Drosophila melanogaster: one gene and its partner. The gene in region 1 interacts genetically with each later gene. Each region holds a gene or a part of one and is shown on either strand. Other genes may lie near its edges.

Evidence for each region.
Region 2: of Arfip (region 1) and RhoGAP18B, changing one suppresses a phenotype caused by changing the other (phenotypic suppression), as found in Drosophila melanogaster (2 studies listed by BioGRID).

What each region holds. Positions count from the first base shown.
Region 1 is NT_033777.3:11,225,010-11,240,761, reverse strand, and holds Arfip (arfaptin), read left to right. Parts: upstream 1-5,748; 5' UTR 5,749-6,031; coding exon 6,032-6,254; intron 6,255-6,317; coding exon 6,318-6,840; intron 6,841-7,191; coding exon 7,192-7,360; intron 7,361-7,437; coding exon 7,438-7,545; intron 7,546-7,635; coding exon 7,636-7,680; 3' UTR 7,681-8,333; downstream 8,334-15,752. Other genes in the region: scpr-B (SCP-containing protein B), read left to right, coding at 1-624; CG31388 (uncharacterized protein), read right to left, coding at 725-866, 1,135-1,251, 1,329-1,651, 1,721-1,805, 2,153-2,709, 2,777-2,893; CG31441 (uncharacterized protein), read right to left, coding at 3,260-3,362, 3,422-4,212, 4,274-4,405; CG17721 (uncharacterized protein), read right to left, coding at 4,846-5,161, 5,220-5,353; Dph3 (diphthamide biosynthesis 3), read right to left, coding at 8,344-8,421, 8,494-8,568, 8,638-8,745; CG17187 (uncharacterized protein), read left to right, coding at 9,054-9,953; GCC88 (GRIP and coiled-coil domain containing 88 kDa), read left to right, coding at 10,313-10,394, 10,448-12,272, 12,341-12,521; CG17726 (uncharacterized protein), read right to left, coding at 12,592-13,581, 13,639-13,962; scpr-C (SCP-containing protein C), read right to left, coding at 14,385-15,059, 15,113-15,226.
Region 2 is NC_004354.4:19,149,879-19,165,454, reverse strand, and holds the start of RhoGAP18B (Rho GTPase activating protein at 18B), read left to right. Parts: upstream 1-7,253; 5' UTR 7,254-7,335; intron 7,336-10,453; 5' UTR 10,454-10,501; coding exon 10,502-12,427; intron 12,428-13,495; coding exon 13,496-14,644; intron 14,645-15,576.

The DNA of each region.
Region 1 (15,752 bases):
CATCACAAACTCATCCTCAATCTCTTCAACGAGCTGCGCAACAACGTGGCTGGAGGCAAAATAGAAGGACTACCCAAGGCTGTTCGCATGGCCAAGATGTCCTGGTGCGAGGAGCTCTCCCATCTGGCCTTGCTGAACGTAAAGACCTGTGAGTCCCTGCCAGATAAATGTCGCAGCACCGAGAGATTCGCCTACGCCGGCCAGAACAACGCCTTGTTCCAGTACAGCGGAGCCGAGACAGAGTACACCGATGCGGAAATAATAAAGGAGCAGATCGAGAACTGGTTTGCTGAGCGCTCGAATGCATCTCCCGAGATCCTCGCCAGCTTCCCGGAGGAGCTTCCCAACAAGGCGGTGACCAAGTTCACCATCGCGGTGGCCGAGAAGAACACCCATGTGGGATGTGCGGCCGTGCGCTTCTCCCGGGACTTTTACAACCACTTCGTACTCACCTGCAACTTCGCCACATCGAACATTGTGGGTCAGCCTGTCTACACTCCGGGAGAGAAGGCAACCACCGGCTGCAAGAACCGATATGGAGCTGCCTACGACTACCCCAATCTGTGCTACGCCAAGGAGATCTACGACAACGAGAAGGTCATCGAGAACACACAGACGATGTAGGTGATAGTAGATGCTGGGATCTTAAACATGAACGCGGAACGGAAGCTTTATTAATATCAATTCGGTATATATAATTAACATGCAACTGGCAATAATGAATTCAATTCGTTGAACAATTTCTTCCACGGGAATTGGGGGATGCAGCAGCTTTAGCACGCGCCTCCAGAGTTTTGTGGGCATTGGACTTCAGATGGGATCTGTAGTGTTTGGCTGTCTTGAAGCTTATGCGGCAGATTTCGCAGCTGGAAGAGATTGGGGGTGAAAAAAATGTTTTACTCATTAGCATGAGGCTTCAAAAAAGTAATTTGATTACATTGAACTGCAGCATATCATATTCAACAGAGTACTGCTGATATTTTATAGGAATATATAGGCACACAATCGTTTTTTGCATATAAAACAAAAAATACGTTTGACATGCAAGATAGATTCGTTATTTAGTTGCGAATAATGGAAATCCTTCTAATTTGCATTCTCTGCAAATACTTAAGAACTGGGAGGAAGTCGTACCCGTGATCGCGAGTCAAGTTGTGATACTTTTGATGTGTCCTGCACTCGCTGGGTGTTACATACGACTTGGGGCAGTACTCGCACTGGTAGATACGCTTGCTGGCGTCCATGTGAACCCTGCGGAATATATTGGAAGGGTCACGTAAGTGGGGATGGTGGGCTAAGTGACGGTGGAGATTCGTCTGAAATTCTACCTTTCATGCATGCTGCGGGCGCTGCAAAAGCGAAAGGTTTTGCCACAGTTGTAGCGACAGATGTAGGGACGCTCGGTTGTGTGGGTTTTCTGATGGGAACAGAGTTCGGCGGCTGTATAAAAGGATGCGCTGCACTGGTCGCATTTGTGGCGTCGTGTGCCCGCGTGGCGAACCAGGTGATTCTTCAGATTAAAGGCCGTGGTCAGATGCTTGCCACATATGTGGCACACATGCTGGGACGCCGGCGGCCTGAGACACCGCTGTTTGTGAGTCTCCAGCAGAATGTGATTGTGGAATTGGCTCTTGCACTTGGTGCAGGAGTGCTGCAAAAAAAATGTTTCAAAATACAATCCTTTATGAAAGGTATTGAACATTTTAGATGGAATCATTACCGTCAATGGAAGATTAATCATGTTGCAGTGCCGCGTAAGTGCGGCTGCTGATCGGAAGCCCTCGTCACAGTGGTCACAGACGAATCTACAAGGATAATTAAAGTGTTAATTGTGGCAATTGATTGGTAGGTTCTCTCATACTGTGAATAAGTTGTTCTAGTCATTCAGTGATAGGGTTTAAAGGATTCCTTAATTCCAATCAGAGCAGCACGTATAAAATGGAAAATCGTTCTAAAATTAAATAAAAATTAAAACAAAAGACAATTAATACGGAATGAATGTGAGAGCTAGCTAATAGCCAATTTAGCAATGTAAACTAAACATATTTTGTGCCCTGACGGAACGTCTTCAGATCTTTTAGGATTTCTACAAGTTTCGAACGAATAATATGGGAAAATCATGCAAGCATGCCTCTAAAATATGATTATTTACTTGGTATCTGGCGGGATGTCGTGCAGATGGTATTTGTGCAGCTTCAGTTCGTCCACGTTTTCGAATTCGAGGCCACACTTGCTGCACGTGTGGCTGGAGGAAGTGTCCCGATTATCGATAGCTTCACTTTCGGGTTCTGATTCGGGAGAGAGGCCCATGTCAAAGTGCTCATTCGACAACTGGCTATCTGTTGAAAGTTCTGGAGAAGATTGCGGACTGGCCACTGACTGGTATGCATTCATATACTCTGTTGTTGTCGTGGTCTTTATGGAAGCCAACTCATCCGTATTCTTATCCTGTGGCTCGGGATCGAAGATAAAATCCATGCGATCATTCAGCTGTAGCACTGGCGACAAGTTGGACAACTCATCCGGACAATCATCCAGCCATTGCTCCGCCAGGCTCTCGAACGCCTCCTCCTCCTTTTCCACCTGCCTTAGCTGAAGTTCAAGGAGCTCCTGGGCCTCGATGCAAACGCGGCGGAAATCGATGGCAATCTGCAGGTCGTGCTGGCAGTCCTGGCACATGAACCTGGGCAACTTGCCGTCCTCTTTTAGCTGCAAAGTGATTACAGATCGCGGCATTTATTCGGTTTTTATTTTCGCAAAACGCTAACGCACTCACCTGCAAGTTAGTTAGAGTCTCTATTTGACGCAAAACGGAAGAACTCGATGGATCGAAGAGATTCTTGGCTACCGCAGGATCAGCCATACGAGAACAGGTCCTGCAAATGTACCTCATGGCTTGTGTAATGAGATAACGCAGCACCCCGATCGATTGGAAGTGTATCTTTTTCGGTTTGTTTGGACGGAAGAACAAGAAAAGCGGCATTCGCATTTCTCAGCCCCACGCATAGTCGATTTCGAATTGACATTCGCCCAGCAACGCGGCCATTCCGCCGATTTTCAAAATCTCAATTTGTTGTTACAAGTTTTTTTCAAGAAATAAACCATTGTATCTGCAGAGCGAAAAGTCGAAAACCTTTGATGTCACAGGTGTACATTTTGATTATTTCTTCTTTTAGAACCATCAAATCAAAAATAGAATCAATTTGTTCAATTTAGGAATCTTATAATAAACTTGTACTTTCAGCAGTCCACATGAATTCTAGACAATCCTAGCACTTTCAGCTCTTCGCTGGTGTAATTTAGTGCTTTGATGTAGGGTCAAATGGGATGAGCGCAGGAACCACTGGTCACAGATCTCGCAGCTGGAAAATACAGTCAGTTTGCACATATTTTACGGAGGACAGCTAGTGCTCCTACTTACTGGTACTTCCGCTGATTAGTGTGCAGCATCTCATGTTTTTGACGCGTCGACGTGGAGGTGAAGGCCTTGTCGCAATGCTGGCACTGAAAGGGACGCTCGTTGGTGTGGGTCCGCTCGTGGACCACTTTACTGCTGCATCCTCGGTAGGTCTTGCTACAGAACCGACAAGCGTACGGTCTGGCGTCCGTGTGAAGGATTCTGTGGCGCCGCATCTCGTTATCCGTGTAGTACTTGGCCTGGCAGATGTCGCACGCGAACGGTTTGTGACCGCTGTGTCGCTGCAGGTGCAGTTTGAGGTAGGTAGAGGACTTGAAGACGCCGCCGCACTGGTCACAGAACCAGGACTTGGAGTTGCGCTTCGTACGCTTGGGGACACGGGCACTTACTCCCTTCGAGATGATGGACATGTTATGGAGCTGCTCTTGACAGTGCTCCACCTCCTCTGTTTGTACTTGTACTTGTTCCTCCTGATTCTTCTCATTCTGAGTCGCATCTTCTGCGTCCTTCGCCTTCTCATTATCATTGTGATCTTCCCGCAGAAGCCCAGCTGTATCTGCCATTGCTACACACATTTCCTGATCCGTGTGGTCCCACAAATCCTGCTGTAGCTTCTCAACATCCGGTTTATCGAGTTCCTCATCAACTATCGCCTTTTTTCGCAAAAGTTTCCTGTTAGCGGCCATAAAAGACTTGTGGACCTCCAAGCACTTATTGCGAAATGTTAAGATCCTGTCCAGCTGCACTTTGCAACATTGGCAAATTAGATGTGGCAGAGTGGTGTCAAATTCGAGCTAAACAATCATTTAAATCAATTAAATAGACAGCATACTTTAGTTTTATTCACTTACATACATACATATCGGTGATATTTTCCAGTATACTAATAAAGTGATAGTTGCTTTTGTTGAACAGTTTGGTAGCCCGACCCTGCAAATTGGTCACATTTTTGCCACAAGTTCGGCAAATCGATCGCAACTCAGACATTTTGAGCAAACCAAACGATATTTAAAAAGGTTTTTTAAAACTCAACATTATTGTGATGCATTACATTCAAGTGAATGGCAAGCGAGATAATGAAGATGCACATCAGCTGTTGTCTGTTTACTAAGTGCATGTGCGTGGTGTGTACACACTGGCTAAACGATATTTGAACAATTCAAAACAAAAATATAAAATTGTATTATTTTTTTTTTTTTTGAAAAAGCATAGACGCATCCAATACTTTTCTTTCATTTTAAACAACAATTTGGTTGAAATCGGCATCTTTTAAGAAATCTAACTTTTATTCGTTTCAGAACTAAAATCTTAATCAGACTTCTTTGCTCTCGACTTAATGTTATATATAAAATTCGTTGAGCCTTGCATTAAGTGCACGCTTATGCTGATATATGGCTTTGCCTGGCTGCATGATCACTAGGTGATACCTACTCCTTAATTCCCATTCTGCAGACCGGACAGTGGCGGCCACCATTAGCCTGGTACTGGTGGAGGCACTTCTCATGCAAGGCGTGGCTGCAGCGCAGATACACCATGGTGTAAACACTTAGGGGATCTAAACAAATCGTGCACAAGTCACCGGCTATATTGACATTAACCACCTTATCGCACTCGAGGCACTTTCTATGGGAATAGCGAAACACCAAGTAGCAGAGATTGTGCATGGCATGTCCACACCTCATGCGGCGCCGGTCGTCATCACTCAGTTCATACTGGCAAAAGGTGCACCTGCCATTCGGCGACCTGCAATGAAACAAGGGATTTAAGCCAACATTTTAGCTTTGAATCGCAAGGCACCAACCTGCCCACGATTCGACGCTCATTTAATAGCACCCACCTGGAGTAAGGCGAACTGCGGTCGTTATGCCAATTGAAATAGGCGAAAGCGGCAACGGACACCAGGCCCAAGCCTATTATTAGATTCACGTAGACCATTTTCCGCTGGCTATTGGCCTAAGTAACGTGGAAATAGAAATAAGTAGAGATTTTCCATGAAATCCCCAAAAATTAAATCAAATTTCCACTTTAGTGGGACCGCAACTGGTCGGCACTGAAAATCCAAATAGAATTGCTTGGCCACATCAACTGGCCTATTGATCATGATCAAGAATATATATGAAAATGAATTAAAAATTAATGCTGGTGCCGCAGAGGAGAGTCCTCGCAGCAGTCACTGTCCCGCCAAACCACGTCCCACCGACTTGACCTGCAGGACAGGACTTCCCCGTGTTCCAAACTCCACCGTTCCGCCTTTAAAATACCGTGTCGCACAGCCGGTATCCAAGCAGTCCAAGTGTGGCATTTAACCACCTACTCGCGCACAGTCACACCGATTTTCAGTTCGTGAACACAGTTTGATGAACTTTATGCGGAATTTTAGGGATTTGAGAATTTTGACGAGTCCAGGCAGGGGTTACTAAAGTCTCGACTCGCCCAGCGTGCGCCATCGATTTCGGCGTGGAAATCGAAGTGAAACCTCCAGCGCCGTTGCCCGAGAAACACACACACAGACACCTAATCGGGCACACCCCCACACAAAACGGGCAGACAGGAGGATTTTCCGCTGGCAATTACTCGGTGAGACGGGCGGTTAACTTAACGACGGCCATAGCTATGACGGACCGCGAGCGCAGCATTCACGAAATGCTGAAGGATGCGCCCTCGCTGAACGACAGCTGCGGAGCGGTGCACACGGGCACCGAAGGCGGCAGCGGGATCCTTGGAAGCGCCAGCAGCCACAGCATCGCCGGCGGAGGAGGTGGTGGCGGCAACGTTGGAGTTGGTGTCGGCGGCCCCTTTGGCGCCCCCAGCAGCCTGCCACTAAGAAACCATTCAGGTGAACTATTTACGAGTCCTCGATTTAGCGACCAACTGACTCAGCATCGATCTTTTCGTGCAGCACCCACCACACCCATGTCGCCCAGTAGTCCACCATCCGGTAACGGCATCCTGAGCCCCACGGACAGCGGGAGCGGCAGCATTATACGCACTAGCGCCTCCAAGATCGACAGTCTCAAGAACTGGAGTATATCGACGTACAAGTGTACGCGACAGATAATGCTGGAGAAGTTGGGCAAGTCGCAGCGGACCGTGGACTCGGAACTGGAGGCCCAGATAGAGCAGTTGCGCGAGACGCAGCGCAAGTATCTGTCCATCTTGAGGCTAACGCGGGCCTTTAGTTCGCACTTCCAGCACGTGGTCGTCACACAGCACGCCCTGGCCGACTCCTTCGCCGATCTGGCCCAGAAGAACCCCGAGCTGCAGAAAGAGTTCACGTGCAATTCGGAGACGCAGCGCAATCTCACCAAGAACGGCGAGCTGCTGCTTAATGCGCTCAACTTCTTTATTTCGTCGGTGAACACACTGTGCAACAAGACGATCGACGATACGCTGCTGACGATACGACAGTACGAAACGGCCAGGTAACCAAAGCTATATCCTTTCATTGTCGTGCAACAACGAAGGAAAAATCATCATCGATCTCTTCGATTTTAATTTAAACTCAGCATGTGTGTGGCTTTTTATAAAAAGTGTTGTGCCACACAGCTCTTATCAGAAATGCATTTTAAACTAGCCTTGTATACAAGCTTGAAACATTGCTTATCGTATTATTTCCTTGAAAAAATTTAAATACGTTGGATCAATTAGTCATAACCGCATTCCATGATAATCTCTACAATGGCAATAAGTTTTTATTTCCTAAAGCCATCGTATGTTTCATAAAAAGGCATGAGAATTATATGTAGTAGAAGTAATGTCCTCCTGCCTTTTAGAATCGAATTCGATGCCTACCGCATGGATTTGGAGAACACCAAGCCGGAGCTGACGCCCTCGGCCGTCGCTCTTGAGGAGACCCAGCGCAGCTATGCGCAGCACAAGGAGCAATATGAGAAGCTGCGCTCGGACGTGGCCGTCAAAATGCAATTTCTCGACGAGAATCGCGTAAGTGGTGCCAAATGGATCTTACCTATGCATTTAGCGAGACTAACCATTGATCCAATCCGTTTATCCGTCGATAGATTAAAGTGATGCACAAGCAATTGATTCTGCTGCACAATGCCATCGCTGCCTACTTCTCGGGCAATGCCATGGCACTGGAGAGCACTCTGAAGCAGTTCAACATAAAGGTGAGTGAGCATGGAAACATGGGAGCAGAGTGCTCCCATTAAACTTCGTTCGCACATTCACTTTTTCACTTCTCCTCTTGTGGCCCGCAGCTTAAGTCACCCAATGCCGTCACTGGATCCTGGCTGGAGCAGTAGATCGAGTAGACGCAGTTCGTCCCTTTCACTCGCGAAGCACTTAGGCGCGTATATTGGAGGAGATCGGGACACGTCGTCCACCTCCACTCATTTGCTGAACGAGCACGCTCTCTAAAAGAAAAAGGAAAAGATCGGTGGCAGAGATGATTCAGTATGCGATGCAGTGGACAGAAACACTGCATGGCGAACCATAACAATATTTTCGTGCTAAGTTTAAGTCGAATTCCTAAGCCGTAAGCAGAAAGTGAGAGTGGTAGGTGTATGTTATTTATATATTTTTCCAACCGCTTTCCATTGTATGTAACTCGCTGTACTACTCACATTTCCACAGCTGGTACGCTGACGTTCCTTTAACTTGTTTGTGTTTCCAAATTTTCGTTCGATTATCATCATATTGTTGTCCTCCGCGCTTGTAAAACATATATAACAAAGTGTACTCGGTGCAATATGAGTGTTTTAGTTTTAGATATTCTAGAATGTGTGTATAAATCCTTTGTAATTCACCCAAAACGAATAATCCATAACGAATCGAAACTGTTTTTGCGAGCTTGCATAATTTGAAATCATTGTTTTACTAGTCATCGTATTATTTACACTAAAATGAAGTCTATATATATATAAAAATATATAAATAAAAACTATTTAATTACACCAAACTGTGTGTTAGTTCTTCTCGAGCTTCAGGTCGCCGAGCTTCTCGTTCAGCGCACTTTCTTCATCCTCCTCAGCTTTGAACATCTCCTGAAATTCGGAAAATCAGATTGCTTGAGTTTTCTGGGGAGTTCTAGGTGTATTTCTGAATGAGTCACTTACCGGATCGTATATGACCTTGATGACTAGGGAGCAGCTGGGACAGGTGGCCACCTCCTCGCCCTCGATTAGCTCCTCCTAAAGTGGAAATTTACCAAGTGATATGGGGAGTCCAGAAAAAAAAAGGTTGCGTATACGACTCGTTACCTTGGAGATCTGAAATCGATCGCCGCATGGACAGGGATAGTAGTACATCTCCTCCTCCTCGTCGTACTCGAAGTCCTCGATCTCCACCTCGTCGTGATAGATGCTCATGACGTACCTTCAGCTTAATTCAGCGCCTAAAGGTCATATTATATTTGAGTTTTTTTTGCGATAACTTAGATTAATCCACGCCAAACAAATGGGCACGTTGTGTTGCGGGGCTGCCAACTCGTTGCAGCGAACAGCTGATCCAGTAAACAATTGCAAATGTTTTATTTGGACATTTTTGGACCGCCGGCTGCAGTTGTGAAATAAGTCTCGTATAAAATAGTATATTTTAGCTAACTTTTGCCCAAAAAAGACAAACTGCAAAACAAACCCATGTTCCAGTTGTTGAATAAGGAGTAAAATAAGACTAAATGGCTAGCAAAAAGTACAGTGACGTGAATCTTTACGATCTTCTGGGCATTTCTCTCGAGTCTGATCAAAATGAGATACGCAAGGCGTACCGCAAGAAGGCCCTCGAGTGCCATCCCGACAAGAATCCGGACAATCCGAAGGCAGTCGAGCGCTTCCATGAGTTGTCCAAGGCTCTGGAGATCCTCACGGATGAATCCGCGCGCGCAGCTTATGACAAAGTGCTGAAGGCCAAGAAGGCGGCGGAGCTGAGGAGTCGCCAACTGGACGGGAAGCGGCAGAAGCTGAAGCTGGAACTGGAGGAACGTGAACGGGCGGCACTGCACAAACTGGCGAAGAGCCAACCCTACAGCACGGTGGCCAAAAGCGACGAGGAGGTGCTGCATGAGCAGATCGAGCGGTTGCGACGCGAGGGCTCCCGTCTGCTGGAGGAGGAGCAGCGAGCCATGCAGGAGCAGTTCCGGCGGAATCACGCGGAGCAACAGAAACTGCAGCAACAGCCGGTCCAGTTTGATTCCGCCCAGCATCGCATCAAGATGAAGTGGAAGGCCGAACCTGGCCAGGATTACACACAGCAAGAGCTGCTCAAGTATCTGAAGAAGTACGGCGACGTGGTGGCCCTGGTGGTCAACAGCAAGCGACGCGGACGCGCCATGGTGGAGCTGGCCACGCGCGAAGCCTGCGACATGGTCTTGGCCTACGAAAAAGGCGATCCCGCCAAGCCGCTGCACTTCGAGTGGGTAACGCCGCCGGCGGCAGACAAGCAGACAACCAAATCGGCCACCACTGGGTGCAGTGCGTCATCCACCGACTACGAGGACCTGGTCATGCGAAAGCTGCGCCAAGCTGAGGAACGTAAGAGACTCATTGAGCAGATGATGAAGGACGAGGAGGGCGAATGAAATAAGATTTAGTTAGGCTCAACATTTAATTTACTTTAATTGGACTAATATTAATGTTTGAAAATATCTCAATTTAGCAACTATGCAGCTGATTTATAATACATTTACATTTAAAATAGTTTTTAATTTATGTAAATTTGGTTATTAATTATTTTTTGAAAAACCGCAAAAATAAAAAAAAGTTTAAATCAGAATGATGGCAATTTTTAGTGCCTGAGCAAACATGACAAGTTGGCAGGCCCGCGTGCCAGCTGCTGAAATTTGTTAATTAAAAGAAATGCAAAAATGACACGGGAGATAAATAAATTGAACTACTAAGCGAACTGAAAGTAAATGAACTAATTCCCTTTCAAGGCGAAATGGAGAAGCGACAGAGGGAGCTGGAGGCGCTGGTGTCCACCCAAAAGGAGCAACTGGGGCGCTATGAAAAGCGTCTAAAAGGTGAGACATAGATGAATTCGCAATGCAAATGGATTAATGAGCCCAATTTGTAGACGTGGTCACTGCCTACAAGGGTCTGCTTAAGGAGAAGGAGGCATTGGAGACGAGTCTGGCGGCGCATGCGGAGGCCACGGCGGTGGGCGAGTCCGGATCGCCGGCCAGGGAGTTGGAGTCCAAAAAAACCAGCACCGACTCTGCGGATGGAGCAACCGAGGGCGCTGCACCGGGTCCGCCTGCTCCCCCGGCCGAGGGTCAACTGCAGACCCAAATTATCACCCTGATGAACTCGCTGGCCACTCTTTCCGCTGAGAAATCCCGCATGGAGGCCTCCTTTCAGGCGGATAAAAAGCAACTGCGCAGCCAAATCGCCCAAAAGGAGCAGACCATTCAGGAGCTTAATACCCGGGCCAAGGAGCAGGCTGCTCGGGCCAAAAGCGACGTGGACGAGATCAAGGCCAAGTGGATCGTGGAGCGACAGGAGCGCGAGAAAGAGACCAACAACCAAATGCTCATGATCCGCGAACTGCAGAAACTCTATGCGGACGAGCGGCATCTAAAGGACAACATTGAGATGCAGTTAAACAACTTCAAGACCCAGTTCGCCAGCAACGAGGCAGAGAATAGCCGGCTACGGGAATTGCAATCCCAGCTAAAGGAGGCTCGCTCCCAGCTGAAACAGTTCCAGGCCAAGACCGAGCACTCTGCAGCAGCGTCAGCGAGTGCGGACAGCGCCGCTCTCCTTCAGCAAGTGCGCCTTGAGATGCAGCAACTGAAGGAGCAGCATGCAGTGGCCATTCGTCAGGAACAGCGTCGCGTGCTGCGTGCCGAGGAACAGAGTCGCAGGCAGGCGGCGCTGCACGAGGATCGCGTGGCCAGTCTAGAGGCACGCCTGGCGGAGCTCAGCACCACTGTCGGCAGCTACGACCGCCTGCGTCAGCAAGATCAGGACAGCATCCATGATTTGAAGCAGCAGCTGCAGGATCTAGAGCAGGCACATGTGCGTCCAACATCCAATTCAAGGGCGCTAAACGAAGATGTGGACGTAGCCACGCTGGTTGACGAGATGGTGCGCTTGAAGAAACTGCTTACCACAGCCAATGCCCGTTCTGCCAATCCACTGGATCTCGGGGAGATCCTATCATTTAGCGGCCAAACAGCTACCCGAGTCGAGAGTCACGCCCACTGCGAGCAACAGCTTCAGGGTGTGCAGCAAATGCTCGAGGCATCCAAGCAGCAGCGACAGCTACTCGAACAGAAGGTGCAGCTGCAGCACTCGCACATCCAAACGCTGCAGGAGAAGGTGCAGGTGCTCAATCGCAACATCGACGAGGCGGAAGTCGAACTAAAGCAGCAGGGCGAAAAGCTGCGCCTGGCATTGAAGAACGAACGAACCAAGTGGCAGGAAGCCAAGGCTGAACTGGAGAACGAGACGCGCTGCAAACTGAACGAGCTGGAACAGCTACTGCAGAAGCAGCGCCAGAGGTCACTGCAGCTGCTGGATGAGAAGGAGCAGGAGATTAAGACACTGCAGACCTCCTTCGAGGTCTTTCACTCGGCCAGCGGTGTGGGCAGCACACTGGCCACACCCACACTTGAAGCAGCTGCCGATTCCTTTCACTATTCCTCCGACACCGACAGCGTGGAGGGGGAGCAGCGGGAAAGAAAGCTAAAGGTGCGCTCCAAGAAAATGTCGATGGGCGAGAACTGCCACATGCTGCACTATGCCAACGAGTTGGCGCGCAAGGACATCGAAATCACGACACTGCGGAAAGCCAAATACGCCGCCGAGTCGACGCTGCGAAAGGCGATCCAGGACAAGGTGACATCTCAGCAGGAAATGCACGAGAAGATCGAGTGCCTCAAGGAGCAGGTGGACAGGTGCGTCGTTGTCGTTGTTATCGTTGTTGTCTTAGAAAGTCATGCCACGATCTCTACTCCCATTCTAGACTCGAACGTTGCAAGACGCGCGAGGGTGCCAATCTGGAGTACCTGAAGAACGTTATTATCAGCTACATTGTTACCCGGGACGCGGACGGCAAGCGTCACATGCTGAACGCCATCTCGGCGGTGCTCCAGTTCACCGCCGCAGAGATGCAGGCGATCAATGCATCATTCCAGAAGAAATAACATTCGTACTTTTGTTCAACAATCATGTGCAACATATTTAAAACCCTACAAACAGATCCTAAATAGATAACTAACTAAATCCGACGACTGGGTATTTGTCTAGGTGGGCAGCTAGCACGCCGGGAAACATGGCCAGGAACTTAAAGCGAGTGCCCATCTGGGCTGGATCCGTGAGCATCTCGTAGCCGGAGCGAATGATCTCCTGGTTTTCGGGCAGCGCATGTGCCAACAGTTGCTCCAGTCGAGCCTCACCCTGCATTCGCTGCAGGAACAGTCCCTGCTCCACGGGACCGCAGCAGTGGACATTTCCGCGTGTCTCGGCAATGTGCCGCACTAGCTTGAAGTCCACATCGGCCGTGAGATCAGCACTGCCCGGCTCCACCAGCGGATCGTGCAGCTTGTGCTGCTTGAAGGCCCGGAAAGTGTCGGTTTTCTCGCCAAAATGGCCATAATCCATGATTAGAGCGATGCCGCCATCCCGTTCGATGCGCTCGGCGAGCAGTCCCACCTGTCGTTCCGTCTCCAGGGAGTGCTCCAAACAGGATCGTGTCTCGCCGGGCAGCGGTCGATAAAGACTCGAAACGGGTGTTTGGCTACGTGAGAGCACATATCGGAAGCTAGCTTCTTGTGCGCCATCAGAGGATGCCACATCGATGAGCACCTCCTGCCACTTGCCATCTACGAGTTGGAGCTTGTGCACAGGCAGGGCGTCGAAGAACTCGTGGGCGAGAACTAGGGAGAATCCCTGGGGCACATCCTCTAGCCGACGGTGCCAGAATGCCTTCGTTCCACTGGCCGTTGTGCCCTCCTGGTAATGGGGCAACTGTGCGTCCTCCGGCAGGGTTTGGTGGGAGTAGCAGAAGCGCTGTGCCTGTGCCTTGCTCAGAAACGGACTGACCTCCACCATGTGCATTGAGAATTCGGCGTCCTGCTTGAACTTGGTGAGCACCTTCAGCACGTCCCTGGCCAGTGTGCCGCGACCCGGACCGAGCTCCACAAGTTGAAAGGGCGAGGGACTGCCCATTTTGCGCCACTCGCTCACCAGCCAAATTCCCACGAGCTGTGCAAAGGGATATGATGTTATGATGACAGGTTCTGATCAATGTGCTTATCTCACCTCTCCGAAGATCTGTGATATTTCCGGGGAGGTTATGAAGTCGCCCTCTCTGCCGAACACATCCCGGTTCATATAGTAGCCAGCTTGGGGATTAGTCAGCACTTCGCGCATGTACTCGGCCACAGGAATGGGTCCGGTGGACAGAATCTTGGCCCTCAGTTGCTTGGCCAGGCTGCCATGTCCGCTCTCCGCTTTGGAGGACGCCTCCGGCTGTTCCTTTGGCGGCTCCATCTTTGGAGTACCTGTGGCGCCCAGATTCGGACGACGGACGGACTTGTAGCTGTACCAGCGCCTGTTGCCGATCCTAAGAGCCTCGCGTAACATTTTGGGCCGGCGAAAAAGTTGCTACAAAAATAAATGAAATGTTTTCTGATTAGGTAGTGACCACTGGATACCCTGCATTTAATTTCAAATGATTATATAAAACGCTAGATGTTTTATTAAAAGGGTTTCTAGCACACAGATAATTTTAAATTCATTGTAGACAAATATAATTGAATTTAAGAACTGTATTCTTAAAGGTATATTTTTTTAATTATCACCAATAAATTGGAATACTTTATCCACAGTTACAGGGTGTATAAAGGGGGCTGCCCACTTGCTGGGCAAACAGCTGTTTGGATAGCACAAATCCGTTACTTACAGCAAACATAAATAATTAAAATTTATTCTTTTAGCACTCTTAAACTAAAATGTTACATATTAATCAAATTCCATTGTCCCATCAATCGAAGTCCATTCCATGCCTACATCGTCTGTGTGTTCTCGATGACCTTCTCGTTGTCGTAGATCTCCTTGGCGTAGCACAGGTTGGGGTAGTCGTAGGCAGCTCCATAACGGTTCTTGCACCCGGTGGTTGCCTTCTCTCCCGGAGTGTAGACAGGCTGACCCACAATGTTCGATGTGGCGAAGTTGCAGGTGAGTACGAAGTGGTTGTAAAAGTCCCGGGAGAAGCGCACCGCGGCACATCCCACATGGGTGTTCTTCTCGGCCACCGCGATGGTGAACTTGGTCACCGCCTTGTTGGGAAGCTCCTCCGGGAAGCTGGCGAGGATCTCGGGAGATGCATTCGAGCGCTCAGCAAACCAGTTCTCGATCTGCTCCTTTATTATTTCCGCATCGGTGTACTCCGTCTCGGCTCCGCTGTACTGGAACACGGCGTTGTTCTGGCCGGCGTAGGCGAATCTCTCGGTGCTGCGACATTTATCTGGCAGGGACTCACAGGTCTTTACGTTCAGCAAGGCCAGATGGGAGAGCTCCTCGCACCAGGACATCTTGGCCATGCGAACAGCCTTGGGTAGTCCTTCTATTTTGCCTCCAGCCACGTTGTTGCGCAACTCGTTGAAGAGATTGAGGATGAGTTTGTGGTGCGGCTCGATCTTCACCTCACGCACGTCCTTGGGACAATTTTCACTGAAATTCTGGGCGAGAATGGGTGAGCACCAACAGGTTTTGGCCAGCTATCACTACTTACTCCCTTGTTGTTGCAGGCTATGTGCTTGTCCAGGCACGTGGGCAGAGCACAATAGTCCGCTGCAAGGCTTATTCCCAGCAGGGAAGTAAGCAAAATCAGAGACTTAATGGCCATCTTCAGCGTTGGTTTTGGACTGAGGCTTAGCTACCCAAAGTACCCTATTTATAGGATAGCTGTGGGGGGTTTTTACCAAGTAACCGGAGAGGAATTGTAGCCAAGTATTGTTACAGCTGCATTCCCATGAATGTCTGGTCACGATGGAGTAGTTTACCCATACTCGAGTGTCATATAAAAGCAGAACTATAGACTACGGACAATCAGTTGCCAAGAGTCAGTGGCATTGTAGCAATGCTCTCCGTAGGAACTACGATGCTAACCTGCTGATCCGGAGGACACCCAATTATTCTAGCAAATCACATCGAACTCAATTGGCGATTTCTAATCTCTTTTGCTATAAATGTTCTACGAGTGTTTAAGTTTGGTGGTACTCTTTTATTGTAGATAAACTATTTACTAGTGTCCTAATATTATTTTACTTTTAGCTCTAAGGAGGTATAATAAATAACAATTTAGCCTGGGTATGTACATATATTAAACTATCATGAGAAATAAACTAATGATTCCACCTCCTAATCAACAT
Region 2 (15,576 bases), on another chromosome or scaffold:
GAAAAACGATTACGCCAACAGCCGCTGCTGCTTCAGTCGACGTCGCAGTCGGCGTCGGCGTTGGCGGTAAGGTAACGGTGGCGCTTGAAGGCGGTAACGCTGCGAAACGATTTAGTTGGCCGCCGCTGCCCGAACGCGTCTCCCGTGTGCTTCAATTCTCAGTTTTCGATACGAATGGTCGCCATGGTCTAGTCCCCATTCCATGCCATTCCATTTCCATTTCCACTGGCCTCGTGTAATTATGATATTTTCCAGGGTGTTACGATTAAAATTATTGATTTGTGTGGCCCCAGAAACACTCCCCCGCGCAGAAAAGTGATAAGAAGTGGACGCGTTGCTCATGCTTTTGGCTTTCTTCCGACGTTTTCACGTTTCGTTTAAGTGCACTGAGCAAAAAAAGTGCAATCTTTGACAAGGCATTTAATATATGTACACTCTTTCACTGGATCCTACACACTTGCTCGTACATGAATATGAAATAAACTGTGACGAGACTTACCTATAAACGATTTGTTCCACTAAAAATGCAAAAAAAAACCTAATTTGTACAAACCCAAAAACGTGACGCCCACAACCAACCCAATTTCTTTTCAGTGAATCCCTCCCACACAACACAAAAACGCCATAAAAACAAAAGAGTTAACAAAACGCAACCATAAACCAATGAGTTTAAAGTGAAAGAGTGAAGAATTAGGAAAGAGCAGAATCGTGCAGATTTCGAGTGTGTGATATCTGTTTTGTTTTTTTTTATTAGTTTTTTTTTGCACAGTGTGATCATGGCCGGCGATACGGAGAACAAAAGGGGCTATCGCACCATATTTCGCAGCATATCCCAGGTGTTCTACGCCAATGCAAAAAACTCGAGTAATACGAACAGCAGCAGCAGTAACAACAACAATAATATCATCAACTACAACAACAACACCATCGAGAACAACAACGAGGGAATCGGCCAACTAACAGTTACGCTCACCAGCATAACACCACCCACAGCCACATGGACGTCGACATCGCCCACAATCTCCACGTGCACAACTGCGTCCGCATCGGCGGGATCATCCACCGCATCCTTGTCGCCACTGGCTAGCAGATCAGCGCGATCGGCGGAGAATATATCCTGCAGCGAGTGTGGAAACCCAGATCCGTATCATGGCCAGGACATGGAGTTGGCAAAAGGTCAAGCCCTGACTCCCGAAGTGCCAGCAGTGCCGGTTCCAGCTGCCAGTGCGGATCAAAACCAGAAGCTAAGGGCCAGTTCCATGCTGGATCTGACCTCCAACCATCGCCATCAGAACGGCTTGAGGGTAAGTCCAATCTCACCTAGAAACATGCATCAATTTGTGGGGAGTAGCAAACGCCTTTCAAAAATGGCATTAACCAGACCCATCCATCAAGACATCCATCAAAGAGGAGAATCAGCCAAGAAAGTCCATCCTAGTTGACTTTAAATCAATCATTAACTTTTAAGCCTATGTGATGTACGAAAACTGATATTTCGTAATTTATTTATTTGATCACTTTGTATGACACATCCAGCTACCTTAGAGAGATCCAAAAATGCTAATCACTGGTAATACCTCTTTAAAAGTCCATATAAATGTGAATGGGGAGGCCCTAATAGAGCCGAGATTGAATTTCCCCGAAAAAGCTGCAACTACTGATCTTCGACTGATAATCCGTGTATCAGCTTTATTTATCGGCGATCCATAGGATTTCCCTGGCCCATGAATTTAAACCCGTTTACGGTCCGTTAGCGGTCTTTCATTGGAGGGTTCGGAATGAAATTTGCATTCCCAGTGAAAGTGAGACCGGAACGGGTTCCGAAAGAGTTCCGTTGGGTCCGAAAGTGAAAATCCATTTTCCACTGGCGCATCTCGGCGTCCTTCAGATCGCTTAGCTTGAAGATCAACTCATTTTGATAACTAATTTGTTTTAATACACGACTTTTCGTATTAATGTGCGTGCAGTAAAGAGTAAAACCTTGCTTGGAAACTGTATCATTAAACTAAGATGACCCACGTGAACAACTGTGAAATCCATAAAAAACCATTGGCCAATTAGCCAATAAATCATACTTGTCATGGGCATATAAGCAAGTTCATTTATATCAAAAACACATCGTGTATATGTATGTACATCAGTGTTTACATTTCCGTTTGTGCGAAGAATGCGATAAAAATATGGACATATGTACATATTTCGTAACCTTAACCTTGTTGATTACATTGCAGCCGTGCTGGGCAAGTTTAGTGACCCATTTTCATGGGATAAAATATATATATAAACGATTTTGTTGCTAAGGGAAAACTGTTTCCTGGCAAACTGGGTGCATATTTTCACATAATTTTACATTATTACATTTACATTTACATTATTTGATAACTACCATAAATCAATGTTAGTAACATCATGGACTTGTGTGAATATCGTTTGGCATGGCGTTTGCAATGGCATAGGGGCTTTCATTGTGCCATCCGAAAAGCGTCTTAACCCCCTAAAACCCCCTTAACCCATGCGGTTTTCTCACTGATGCAATGGCAAAATGCATTGCGCATGGTCTTATTTCGAGCTTTTGTCTGTTTCGTTTTCCGTTGCGTGTTTTGCCATTCGCCTTTGCCTACTTTATCATCTTTTAGTCCATCTTCGTTTTCGTTTTCGTTTTCATTTCCATTGTGCCGCTCAACTTGGCGACTAATTGCGAGTGCAGCTGCGCATGCGTGTTGCGCGCGACTTGGCAGCGATTCGGGCGCGTTTTCCCAGCGATTTTTGCATTGCGAAATGGGGAAAGAAATGAAACCAGGAAAAATAGAATATAACCATTATAAGCTGGGTCTCATTAGCAAGCAATTGTCAAGCGAATTTCTCTGATGCGAATGAGGGAACATAAAAGACATGCACCGGGAGAAAATACGTGTTATTTCTTTATCGCATTAAATATTTTTTAAGTTACTCAAGTAGCTAGATTAGCTAGATGGAGTCACTAGTATGTCGAGTTCTCGCATGTATCTATCTTTTGTCTTAGAAATATATTGCTGCATACTTTCAGACACCGAATGCATCTTATGTAACGAAATTTTGCTATGTGTAAATTGTAATGCCTAATAACAACTGAATGCCTTTTGTTTTTTGCTGTGCAGAGGCTTATCACTTGGTTCGTCTGACTGACGAGTGCAACAATTTTGTCATCAGTCAACAACGGGCACAAATACACGTACCCAGTCGGTCACATAGATACTCTGCGTGCATTATTTCCATTTGGCTTTATTTATGCATTTCATTTTCTCGCTCTGATTTGCCCCGCACTTTTGCCTCGAAATTTCTCTTTTAATTTAATTTTTTTTTTCTTTGTTAATGCAGCGCCAAGTAGAATTGTCGTCGTCTGATTGACACTTGAGCTGACATTCTCATTTCAATTCGAATTCGTACTCGTTTACGTATTCCGATTCCAATTCCAATTTCAGCTTCCGTTATCTCCCTGCCCCCCCCCCCCCCTCTCGCGTGCGTCATTGAATTCTCACAATTTGTATCTCAGAGGTTTTTATCTCAAATTGTGAGTCTATGAGTCAAGTTTCGGGGGCCCTTCGGCAGTGTGTTACTGATAGGAAAGTCTGGAGATGAGCTATATAGAAGCGGGCTCATTCCCTAAATTGGTGTTACTTACATATAAGTAGGATTGATCGAAAACAAAATTATATAGGAAACAACAATTTTCATTTACTTATTCAAGCTTCTGTTCCTGTCAACACGAACGTTTGCAAAATGCATAAATACACGTTTCGAAAACTAATATCTTTCAGTTCAATTCTTTGACCAAGCAATTGATAGGGAAATATGGTTAAAATCGGGAATAGTTTACACAGTAATGCAACGGTTTCTCAAAATTTACAAGGTTCTGTGTGTGTGTAAGGTTTATTGCGTTTTTAAAAAACAAAACTAATTTCATAATATTGAACAGGCCCTCTCTAATTCACACTTTTCTCATTAGCCACACAATCGTTTAAATGCTATTAATTAAGAGGCGTAAAGCACTTACAAATGCAGTGCATATTTATTGCATACTTCACACCATTTTACGCAAATTGTTTTTCCATTTTATCAATTATTGACTAATTCATCGGATTAGATTTCATGCTTGAATGGTATAAAACATCGAATGAGTCACAGGCGATGGTCAATAAAAAGTACCAATTAAGGCAGTTTTTTTGTATTTTTATTATTTTACCAGCAGCTCTTTACTTTACTTTTGAGGCGTTGACAAAAGCTGCTGGCTTCGGTCACCCAGCACACACACACACACACACACTTACACACAGCCACTCCCCACTCCCCTCTTTTCAACTCGATCTATCTGTTGCTGCTGCTGTCGCGCTTAATAAAATTCATTAAAAAAGGAGAAGACCGCCGTCCAACAATAATAATCATAAAGTGAACTCAGTGGAGAGGGGGGTGAAGAGGATGCATGTATTGGGGGAGGGGGAGTAAACACCAATACAGCCACATGCAACATTCAACGCAGAAATAGAGTTGCCATTCCAACTATTTAATTGCTAGTCAAGAAATAGCATTTTTTTTTAATCTTTTGCAAATTATTTGAGAATGAAGTTTTCTGCATTTTCAGAAACCAACTGAAAATATTAAAAATTAAAATTATTATTAAAATACACTTTATTTATGCACACTATTAGATATTATTATACATTTAGGATATACTACACATTTAAGATTAGATAAAATTGTATAGAATCTCTCCGCTTATCATAACTGCATATTGAGGCTTATTATATACACATTGAAATATTGAAATGCACTTGTTACTCGAATCCATCGGGTTTTTACTGTCGGATCTCGACAACACTGAGTTGCAGTCGCTGCCAACTCATTACCGACGGAAACATAATGCTGCCAAAGACGCGAGTCTGGTTCTGGACAGGGATGTGGATGTGGATGTGAGTGGGGACGGGGCTGTGGATTTGGTTGGGACATGGACGGGACTTGGACAGGGCCATCAGCCATCAACCATCATCCACGGGCCATGAGCCGTGGGCCACCCCTTTTAATTCTTCGTTTGTTTTTTTTTTTCGGGAAAAGAAGGCGGCCGAGGAACCCGCAGAAAAGCCAAACCAAATATGAGTCGGGGCAAAAAAAAAAAAAAAAGATGGAAACTGAAAGCGAAAACATGAGAAATATGTTCTTCAGGAATTAATTTACCAAGCACTGCGAATGTTAAATGCCCTACTCCGAGATATAATTCATAATTTATTAGCCGAATAAATATATATTAAATATATTTGGGTTTCAATTTATGCACTTAAAACTCATATGTGGTGGCGTGCTTTAAGATAGATATTAAATCTATAGTGTAAATCCCACACTTAGTCAACCCTAGAAAACCCTATGATTTATTGGTATATTCCTGCATATACACATACATACATAAAAGTACATATGTATGTATGTAGGGTAGCCGATAGCAAACAGTTGAATGCAATGTTGGTCACAGCCTGAATGCATTTCTTTATTTCGGTATGTGTGCGTATTTGTTGTTTTGTATCCGCATCTGTATTTGTATTTGTATTCGTATCTGGTGGATACATTTGATGCCGTCGGCAGCGAAGCCAACAACAACAATTGTGTTCATTGTGCTTAATTAATTTAGTTCAAAGATCAAGCGACCATATTGCTGAACATCGGCTGCAATGCGATTCTTCGCCGGCCTCTGCTCATTTTCATTTTTATTTTCATTTTCATTTTTATTTTTATTTTCATTCTCAGTCTCACTCTCATTCGCCTATTTTTTAAGTCTCTTCCCCGGAATTGTTGTTTTTTCCCCAAAGATGCATCCTCATCTTTTCTTTCTCTATTTGCTCCCGGTTCTGTTTTATATGGATTCCGATTTTTGTAAATATCGGTCGTGTACTATATGGATCTTCAAAACATGATTGCGAGCAGTATTATGAGGAACAGGATTATGAGGATTGGTTTCAAAATTCAATAAGAAATAAGAGAGCTTACGGTTCGTGCTGAAAGTGCAGTTCTCATTTTCATATCGGAATTGCTTGCAATAAAGTGTTGAGCAAAAGTATGTATGTACATATGTATATGCATATCGTAATCGGTTTACGCAACTGTTGTGCATAAATTGAACAGTGTTTAGCATTCATCATGGTTACTTACACAGCTCGATCCACCCGCCCAGCACCGCCCCCTCTGCGGTCCCAGAACCGACCCCAGCCCCCCCCTTTTTTTGCACCCCCTACTCCCAACTCAGCCGAACTGAAAAACAAACTCCCAACCCTCGACAGCACCCCCCCCCCCTTTACCACCCTCCTTCAGGGACCGCACTCGATATGCTTAATTAGGCAACGGGCGTTGAGTATAAAAAGCGTCTTTTGTCGCTGCCACGCCCCACCCTTACCCTCTCACCCCCTCATTAGCCCATGCCACCCCCAACCCTTACACACACACGCACATTCGTGAATGTGGTGGCGCACAGCCAGACAGAGCCACACATGTTGCCCATGTTCCATTACACACATGTGGTTCGGTTTCAGTTCAGTTTTAGGTTTGTTCTGCTCTGCGCTGTTCTGTTCTGTTCTGGGCTTTTGCCTCCCCATCACTGATCTCTGGCCCACACTGGTCAGCATGACATGGGTACGAAGGATAGTTTCAAGCTCGGTTGACATGAGTCATAGTTTCACCGATGATGAATCACAGCTCATAATGGTCCATAGTCATGGTCATAATAATGATCCATAGACTTTGCCTATAAAAGTAAATAACTGTAAGAAATGTATTAGACAAGGCAAGAATTTCTATTGAATCTTATATTAATTTAAAAAGTTTTATTCTAAAGAAACTTATTGATGATATAATTTTGTAAGGCTGGCATATATAGTTAGCATTTATAGTTTTTAAAAATACTGATATATCCTGTAATATATGTATTATATTTCATTTGAATATCTGAAATATTTGAAATTACCCGCTTATAATTCCCAACTTGCTTTTTCATCGGAAGCAACAAAATTTTGTTGCGGGCTTTGGGGGTTAGTGCCCACTTTTGCTGACTAGTGTGGAGTGCTCGAGTTCCCTGGGTGACCGGAGGTCGGCATCGCCATAGCCATAGCCACCGCCACCGACTCGTGGCGTCGACTGCGACTGCGACTGCGACTGCGCGGCGACTGCGACGTCAATCGCTTACGAGGCGGACCGCCACCCAAGAAAATTCTCGGCGGCATCTTGAGTTCAATTTCAGTTGATATTCTGTTAAATTCGCGAACGCGTCGCGCCTGCAGCTCCCGATTTGATGGAGAGCCCCACCTCAAGCCCAATTTCGTAATGCTCCCATTTAAAGCTCGGCTTATCAGTGCTGGCCAAAATCGGTGCTTTTTGTTTTGGTGCTCGGGTTTCGGTATTGAAGCCCACCAAGTGCCTCGATCGATCTACAATAGTTTTAATAATAAAACAGTGCATTTGGGGAAATTGGAGAGAAAGTGAGATAAGCGCTGCGAGATAACGGGACCAATCCCGTTTTATTTGTTCCTTCCTTTCGCCCATAATATGGGTGTGTGTGCTCATGTGTTTCTTGTGAATTACAGTATATTGCTTTTACAATGGCATTCATCGTCATTTATTCATTTGTCGCGCCATCTGAAAATGAACGGCGATGAATCATCGGCATAGGCAAATCAGCGGATTACCCACAATCCACACTGATTGCATTGCTGTCTCCTTGGGGGCTGCACAATTTGGACAGGTTTTATTGACGGGGTCAAGAAGGTCTCGATCGAATGCCCAAAAGTATGCAAGTTTATCACCAAGGCGCCCGAAAAACCAAAGTTTTGCGGTTTTGTTTTTTTTGTATTTGAGGAATCAAACTATAAACTGTGTATTTTGCCAGTGTTTGAAGTTAAACTTAGTTAATTGGGTTCAACAAAATATATATCATAATCATATTAAAAAATATAATATTCAATTGGTTGTGCTACAGCTATTTTTATAGCTATTTATAACGAAACGGATTTTCTGAATGAAAATTTTTAAAAAAGTATATGAATTCGGTATCAATATATTTTTTCTATGCTATTGCTGCATTTTGGTGATTCGTATCAGTACATAAAAACATTTTATTAATGAAATTTTAACACTTTAAAGTGAATCGCAAGCATTTCTTAAGTCATGAAGGATTTGAAATATATACTTTCAAAATTTCCAAAATGAACAACAAGCCCAGTGATGTCAGGCTTCTAAATAGTTTATTCACTTATTTATTAATAACTATGCTTCAGAACCTTCAGACCCTAGGGATTCAATTTAAGAATTGTTTATTTTGTAGAAAGCTAATTAGTTCAGAGAAATGCTCCTAATGAGACCACAACAATTATATTAGTGAAAACACAGTCAATCAGTTATGAAGAATTCCACAAGCCTTTTGTTTGCTATTAAAATTCAAATAGTTTGGAACAATTAAGTGTATGGCTCTTTGTTAAATTATTTCTCGGATTGTTAATATATCACGCAAGTAATTAATCAAGATTTTCTATTTAAATAAATTCGGTTTCTGTATAATTTGTGTGTTTTTTATCAGAGAAATGAATATCTTATAGAATGTTCTGTAAAATTATCTTTTAAAGGACAACCCAAACATGATTATAAAGAATTGAAAATTAATAATACAGGTTATTGTCCAAGCAAACAAGACAACCATTGACCATTGACCCTGATTCTAGACCAAAGTATGATTAACAACACCGTGAAAACGCTTTTACCTACCAACCAACCAACATTTGTGGTACCTAACGATCCAAATCTGTTGTATTTTGAAATATGGTGGTAGGCTACTCTCGACTGGATTTGAATCAGTTTTATTTAAATGACGCTGTAACAACAATTGGTGGTGTTGGAGAATGCGAAACATGTTTTAAGCACCTAAAACCCCTAACCGGTTTCCCCTTTCCGCCCCAAGCCGATTATGATTAATGGCGGCGATCCTAGATCAAAGAATTACGAATAATACGAAGCCCCCGAAGAAGATTTCAAGATCTACCATCGAGATAAACATGATTTCCCCACTTACGCCGATCGAAAGATTAATGCACGGACCCTCGTTTCTTGGCACCTTAACTCCATTAGGCTCACTCTCGCCTTCCGTTCGGGATAACTGTGCACTTGAAAAAAAAAGATAGAATATACATATATTAATATATGTAAAATGAAATTTTGCATATTTCCGTTTTGGTTTTTCAGTAAGAAGGAATTGTAGAATTCTTGTAATATTTTAAATTCCCAAAATCAGTGGCTACTATTTTTTGCCAGTGTGAACTGAGCACATTCCATATTCCACACACCATGTTCCACATTCCATCTACCTGGCGGCACCTGTGAGGCGTAGGTGAGGAAGTCGACGATCGTTACACAATTCTCGACTGGCCGCCAACCTGTTTCTGTTTCTCCGGGGTTTTCTCTGGGGTTTCTCGCCCCTCTCCGCTCTCTTCACCCAGTCATGGCCATCATTTTGAGTCCGAGGGATAAGGACGGGGGTTACGAGAGGACCGACATGGTTTGGTGGATCGGTTAGTGACTCATCTCCGTATATCAACGAAAAACAAAGCTCAAAAGCAGAAGCAGCACTGTGGAATTCTAGTCAGATGAAATGCATTGGGGTTTTTTTTACTTTAAACATTATTTGCATTTAAGCATCAAATGTTTTAGGGCAAACAAACAATTCATTTTAGAGCTCTAAACTGATTAGTGATAAGTGCTCTGGATCTTTTTGGGCGTGAAATATACAGAGATATTGGGTCTAGTTACACATATATTGAATACAGCAATGGGTTCCAATAATATTTTATCAAAATAGCTAATATATGTAAATATTAGAAGAAATGGTAAAGAAATTCACGATAACAGGGTCATATTATTAAAAGCTGTTTGCAATTAGATTCGAAAAATTCATCCTTTAAATTCCCAGATTTAAAAAAAGTCAAGCCAAAGAATTGTGTTTTGAAGGCAAAGCCGATGGTTTGGAGGAAAACTGAGTGCAGAGTGCAGCGACTTTGGCTGAGATAATGAATATCGCTGATTGCAGTCGGAAGCGGGAGGGAAAGAGACAGAAAGAAAGAAAATGAGGGTAGTGGCATCACTTAAAGAGTTCAAGCCCATTGACTTTTCTCAGTGATTACACTGCGAGAACTAAGGTCGTTTTTGGGGTGTTTCTCAAAAAATAATAGTGAGTAATCGAAGATTACAAGTTATTCAATTCACTCGAGTGAGAAATTTAAGAAGAGCCATTCGAGCATTTCCAAATCGAATTTATGTTAATTAAATACCTTCGCGACATTTCTTTTGCGGTGCACGAAATTCTCTCGATGACAGTGCTCTCACTTACTATCTCTCCAATTGCCCCGCTCGGCGATTATTTTCTCACTTAATAATGAATTACGATGTGACGCAGCGGCGATAAGAGAAAGTAGGGAGGCAGAAGAAGAAATAAAGAAGAGAGATGCCACAGCAGGCGAAGGACATTAACGATAACGTCGGCATGGAGGCGCACATCTACGAGAATCTGCCGGGCCTGACCTCCACCCCCAAAGGTCACCTGAATGCGGAGCTGCGCAAGTATTTTCCGCGCGAGGCGATCTACGAGAATCTTTGTCGGGGTTGCGGCTACGGCGTGTTTGCCGCCCAAGGACGCTACTGCCATTTCTGCCAGTGCATCGTGAGCGGGGGCGTGGTGAGTACACCGCCTCCCCCACCGCCACCGCCCCTTTCGACGATTTCCGGCGAGAGCAGCAACATCTATGAGAACATCTGCGATTTGTGCCGCGGCATTTATAGCGACAACGAGCGGTGCCGGTGTCAAAGGTCAGAGACGCCAGCCAAAGCGCCCGCACCGTCCACACCAACCACACCGCCCACACCACCCACCAAGGTCAAGTCGCGGTCGCTCTTGGGCTACTCCAAGTCCAGTGCGGCGACCTTGACCCGTCTCTTTGGCTCTCTTAAGCAGCTGAACCGTTCGTCGTCGCTGCAGCGCAGGATATTCCCGAGGACACCCACGACTGGCAGTAGCAGCGCTGGCTCCCTGGAGATCATCCACAACGTGGACGAGGTGTTCCGCACCCAGGAGACCTTTGACCTCCAGCGCATTTGCGAACTCAAGCTAGAGCAGCAGCAACTGAAGGGCAGCCAAAGCGATCAGCACATCTACGGCCGCGTAAGAGAGCCCGAAGAGAGCCAGAGCCACAAGAGAGAGCGCAAGAGGCCGCGCGTCTCTCGCATTCGCCTGCTGCAGGACGAAAGCACATCAGGATCCTCATCATTGTATCTCAACGAGAGCATCTGCCAGTGGATGACCTCCCTGAGGCGGCAGGTGCACCACTACGACGAGGGGCCGTGGCAGCAGCCAAAGAGCGTACCAGCGCGCGATCCTTCATCCTCCGCCGAGGAGAGCACGGTCACACTGCGGAGAAGCACGGAGGAGAGTGCAAAGTGTGCGGACGAGCAGGCGAAGTTGGTCAAGGACTTTAAACGAAAGCTGCAGCAGAAGAGAGCGCACAACGTGGAGCCGGAAAGAGAGCAACGGCGCTGCGCCATCACGGCCAACTTTGTGAATGACTATCTGAGCGCACTGGGCGAAGAGAAAGAGGCAGTGCAACATCAACAGGTGGCCGCAATCGAAGAGCACGTCGCAGTCGTCGCAATCGCAATTCAGCCTCAAGTCTCTGTATCTCTCTTGCGCTTGATGCAGAGTCTCGCTCTTTCGGCCAGCTTGCACGTGAGTGTGCGTGGCTTTCTCACCGCCTATGACAAATCGTTCAGCTTGTGGCTGTGGCACCAGCAACAACAACAGCGACAACAACCACCGATCAACGGTTATCGGCGAAGGAGAGCGCGTGACTCAGTTGTTGGCGTTGTGGGGGATTGGCGACGGCGCCTGCCTCTCTTCGCCTTCTCCTTCGCCGGCGGCAACGATCGTTCGGTGGCCTCGGCTTCGGTTTCAGTTTCGCCAGCGATTTCAGAGAGCGTAGACGTGTGTGCTGCTGCTGCGTCGCGACGCCGCGCGAATCGAAGTACGAGGCGAAGAGGGACAGCGATAGTCAGGGAAGAGGGTGTGTGCGGGGGCGAGAGCTCCACTAGCAGTAACAACAGCAAGAAAAACAATAATAATAACAGTAACAACAACAGCGGAGCTTTGATGGCAGCGCCTAAGCCAAATGGCGAGGCAGAGCGCCCCTCAACAAACAGCAACAACAACACCATCAACTGCAGCAGCAACAACAACAATGACAACATCAGCAATAACAACAACAACCATCACACCGTTGACAATGAAAGCGGTATCAACAACAACAAGAATAACGACGGCAACGCCAATTGCAATGTCAATGAACAACAGCAACAACAACAACAGCAGCCAATCACACAGGTCAACACTCATTAATAAAAAGCAAAAACAAAAGCCGCATCAATCAAAGGCAAAATTAAAATGCACAGAGAGAAAAAGTTTGGGCGGTATCAACGAGCGCCACAAAAAAAAAATATATTATTTAAAAATTCAATTGACACGGTTGAATTTTACCAATTTTTTTATTAACTATAATTGGTTTGATTTCCGTAAATCAAAGTAATACAAATAGTGCATGTAAATAAATATAAAATTTATAATTCCCAATTGCGATCCGTCAAATCAGTTCAACATCAATCAGGAACGATTAAAATTGATCCCTACTTTTTTTTCTGTTCTTATATATGAAAAACAGTTTGAGGGCAATACGTTAATATTGTGATGCAATTATACTTTTCTCTCTGTGTACTTGATTCTGTTACGTTTCACTGCAGTTCAAAATTGACTAACGGTTCACGTGCGAAAGGGATGCCAACATTCGATTGGCCAGCGAAACGAAAAAAAAAAATAAATAAATAAACAAACTTATCTAATTAAAAACAACCATTGAACAATGAAAAAAATGTGAAGTAAAACAAACAAGTTTGCAATGAAAGCACAAGATAACTATAAAATAATCAGCGTTTAATTAACGTCATTTTTCACACTATTTTTTTGAATATTTTTTTTTTACTGATTGCAAAATTTGCGTAAAAAGCAGTAAAGTTGCCATCACAACTGCACAAAAAAGTTCAATATTGTGATTCCTAGCAAAGAAGTTATTAATGGAGTAATTCATTGTTTTCGCAGGCGGCATATTAATGATAATTTCCATTAAAAGCTGATCGGGAAATCCGCCTCCACTTTTGTTATTTTACGTAATTACCTAACTAATTAACTATGTTTATCAGTTTGTGAGAAGTAACCCTAAATTCGTAACTTTATTCAAAGATGGGGTTTCCTTAAATGTTTTTATTATAATTGAAACGAAATGAAATCAAAACGATATCCCACCGTTCGTCAATTATTGCAGCGAGTAAAACACAACAGTCGAAACAGGATATTATTTTTTGTTTTGACAATATAGTATGTTTCCACCTCAACTTTTAGAATTGCGTTATTAAAGTTCGACGACCGGCGCCAAAGGTACCCGTTCGAAATCCCAACACATCTTTGAGCAATCCCCGCCAGATTGAAGAGGAGCAGACGAAGCCGAACGGAGGGAAAAAGGATAACCTGAGAGGCAACTCCTTTGCCGCGGAGAATTCCAGCCCAGAGGAGCAGGAGGAGGAGTCCATTTACCAACCCATTTGGCAGTTCAAGACAATCGAACCCGTAGATCAGGAGATAATCGAAGCCCTTCCCGTCGAGGGCGAAGATGAGGAGGACGAAGACGAGGAAGACGACGACGTGGATGATGAGGAGGAGGATCTGGGGGACTACGACGAGTCGCTGCCATCCGATGCTGATCCGGATGTGATGGCTCTCCAAGCGGCGGCGGTCTTTGCCGCCGGAGTGCGCCATAAGTTGTCCACATCGACGCTGACCAAGCGTTCCAAGATGATGATGCCGACGCCCCTGCCCTCGCCCACCGCCTCCATGGACCATGGAGCGTGGGAGACGGATATGGAGTTCATGTACTCGCGGGAGAGTAAGGAGGAGGCGGATGAAACGCTAAGCCTGGGCAGTACGGTGACGAACAGCACAGCGACCCTGGGCTCCATCAGCAGCACTGGCAGCAGCGTCACCGGGCAGCCAAAGGATACGCCAAAGGATCTGCCAGCGGATCAGCAGCCATCAGTCGTGGTGCATCCGATCCTAAGGAACATTTGCATTTTCTACAGCCAAAAAGATCCGAAGAAGTACAGCGCTATATTCTACGACTACCATCTTTCGCTGGTCCACCAGCGGTTCATGACCCGGATCCGCCGACCAGCACCACCGCCACCCGCCCAACTGGCCACCTCAAACACCACGAGTCTGGCACCACGCAGCGATGATAGTGGCTGCAGTTGCGAGGCGGAGGATTCGTATAACCACCAGCACAACCCCACGCCGGCCATTCCGAAGCCCTTGAAGGAGGAGTGGGAGCGGGCCGTGCTCGCCGCGGGGGCGGTGGCCGGTAAGAGGGGCGTGGCTCCGAGGACGGGACGCAAACTGCGCGTTCGCTCCAATGCGAGGCTGCTGCTCACGGACTCCGTGCTGGCGTGGCGGGAAACGCTGCAGGATGTAAACTGCTGCGAGGACGAGGAGGACATGGTGAGTGGGTGGGGAAATGTCTTGAAAGATGAATTGAAAAACATATATATTAGTCTAGGCATTATTCATACATCCAAATTCCGATTTTGGAATTTCCGGCCAACGATCTTTAAATAATCTATAAATAGTGGGAAAGTCATTTCGTATCAACGTTGAATCAAGCTTAAAGTCGTGACTTATATTTCATGAAGCTTAATTAAGAGAATGAGAAAGATTGATTTCTTTGTTCATATTATTTTAAGCAAGCAAATGACTTTAGTTGGTTTTTCGAGTGGGTACCCCACTGTCACTTGCAATTTGCCATGTACAATACGTTCTCTCAGTCTCTTCGTCTTCGGGTTGGCCATTGTTTCGCCACTTGTTACTTGTCACATCAATTAAAGTCAGCAAATGTATCTGTAGCTTAGTTATCTAGGTATCTCCGTATCCACGGCTCATGCGATTGTTTTGGGCTGGATCTGTAGTCGGTGAACCCCTTCTCCGAGGGCTAAAAAAGTTACTCAACCTTCCGTTTGGGGAGCCAAAAGTTGTGCTGAAGTACCCTGGGAGTCACACTGGGAGGTCATGACTATGAGTCGATTTGGGAATGATACTAATATGCTTATGTTACTGAATCGATTCATATATTCTCTGGTCACGAATCAATCGCATATTGCGACTGAACTTTTGTCGCATTAACAAATTAGCATGATTTGATTTGACTTTATGAATTCATATCCAAGTGTTGTATATATGTATATACATATATAAATAATTCGAGAAGAAGCGTAACCTGTGATACAAAGATAAAGATACATTTTGTCAAGGGATCTATCTATTTTTTTTTTTTGTGTCGCAACTTCGGTTTCTCTAGGGCATTTTTGAGTCGACCGAAAGTGTATCTTTTGGTTTCCCAAACTTGGCTTTTGATTGCAATTTGTTTATAACGCATA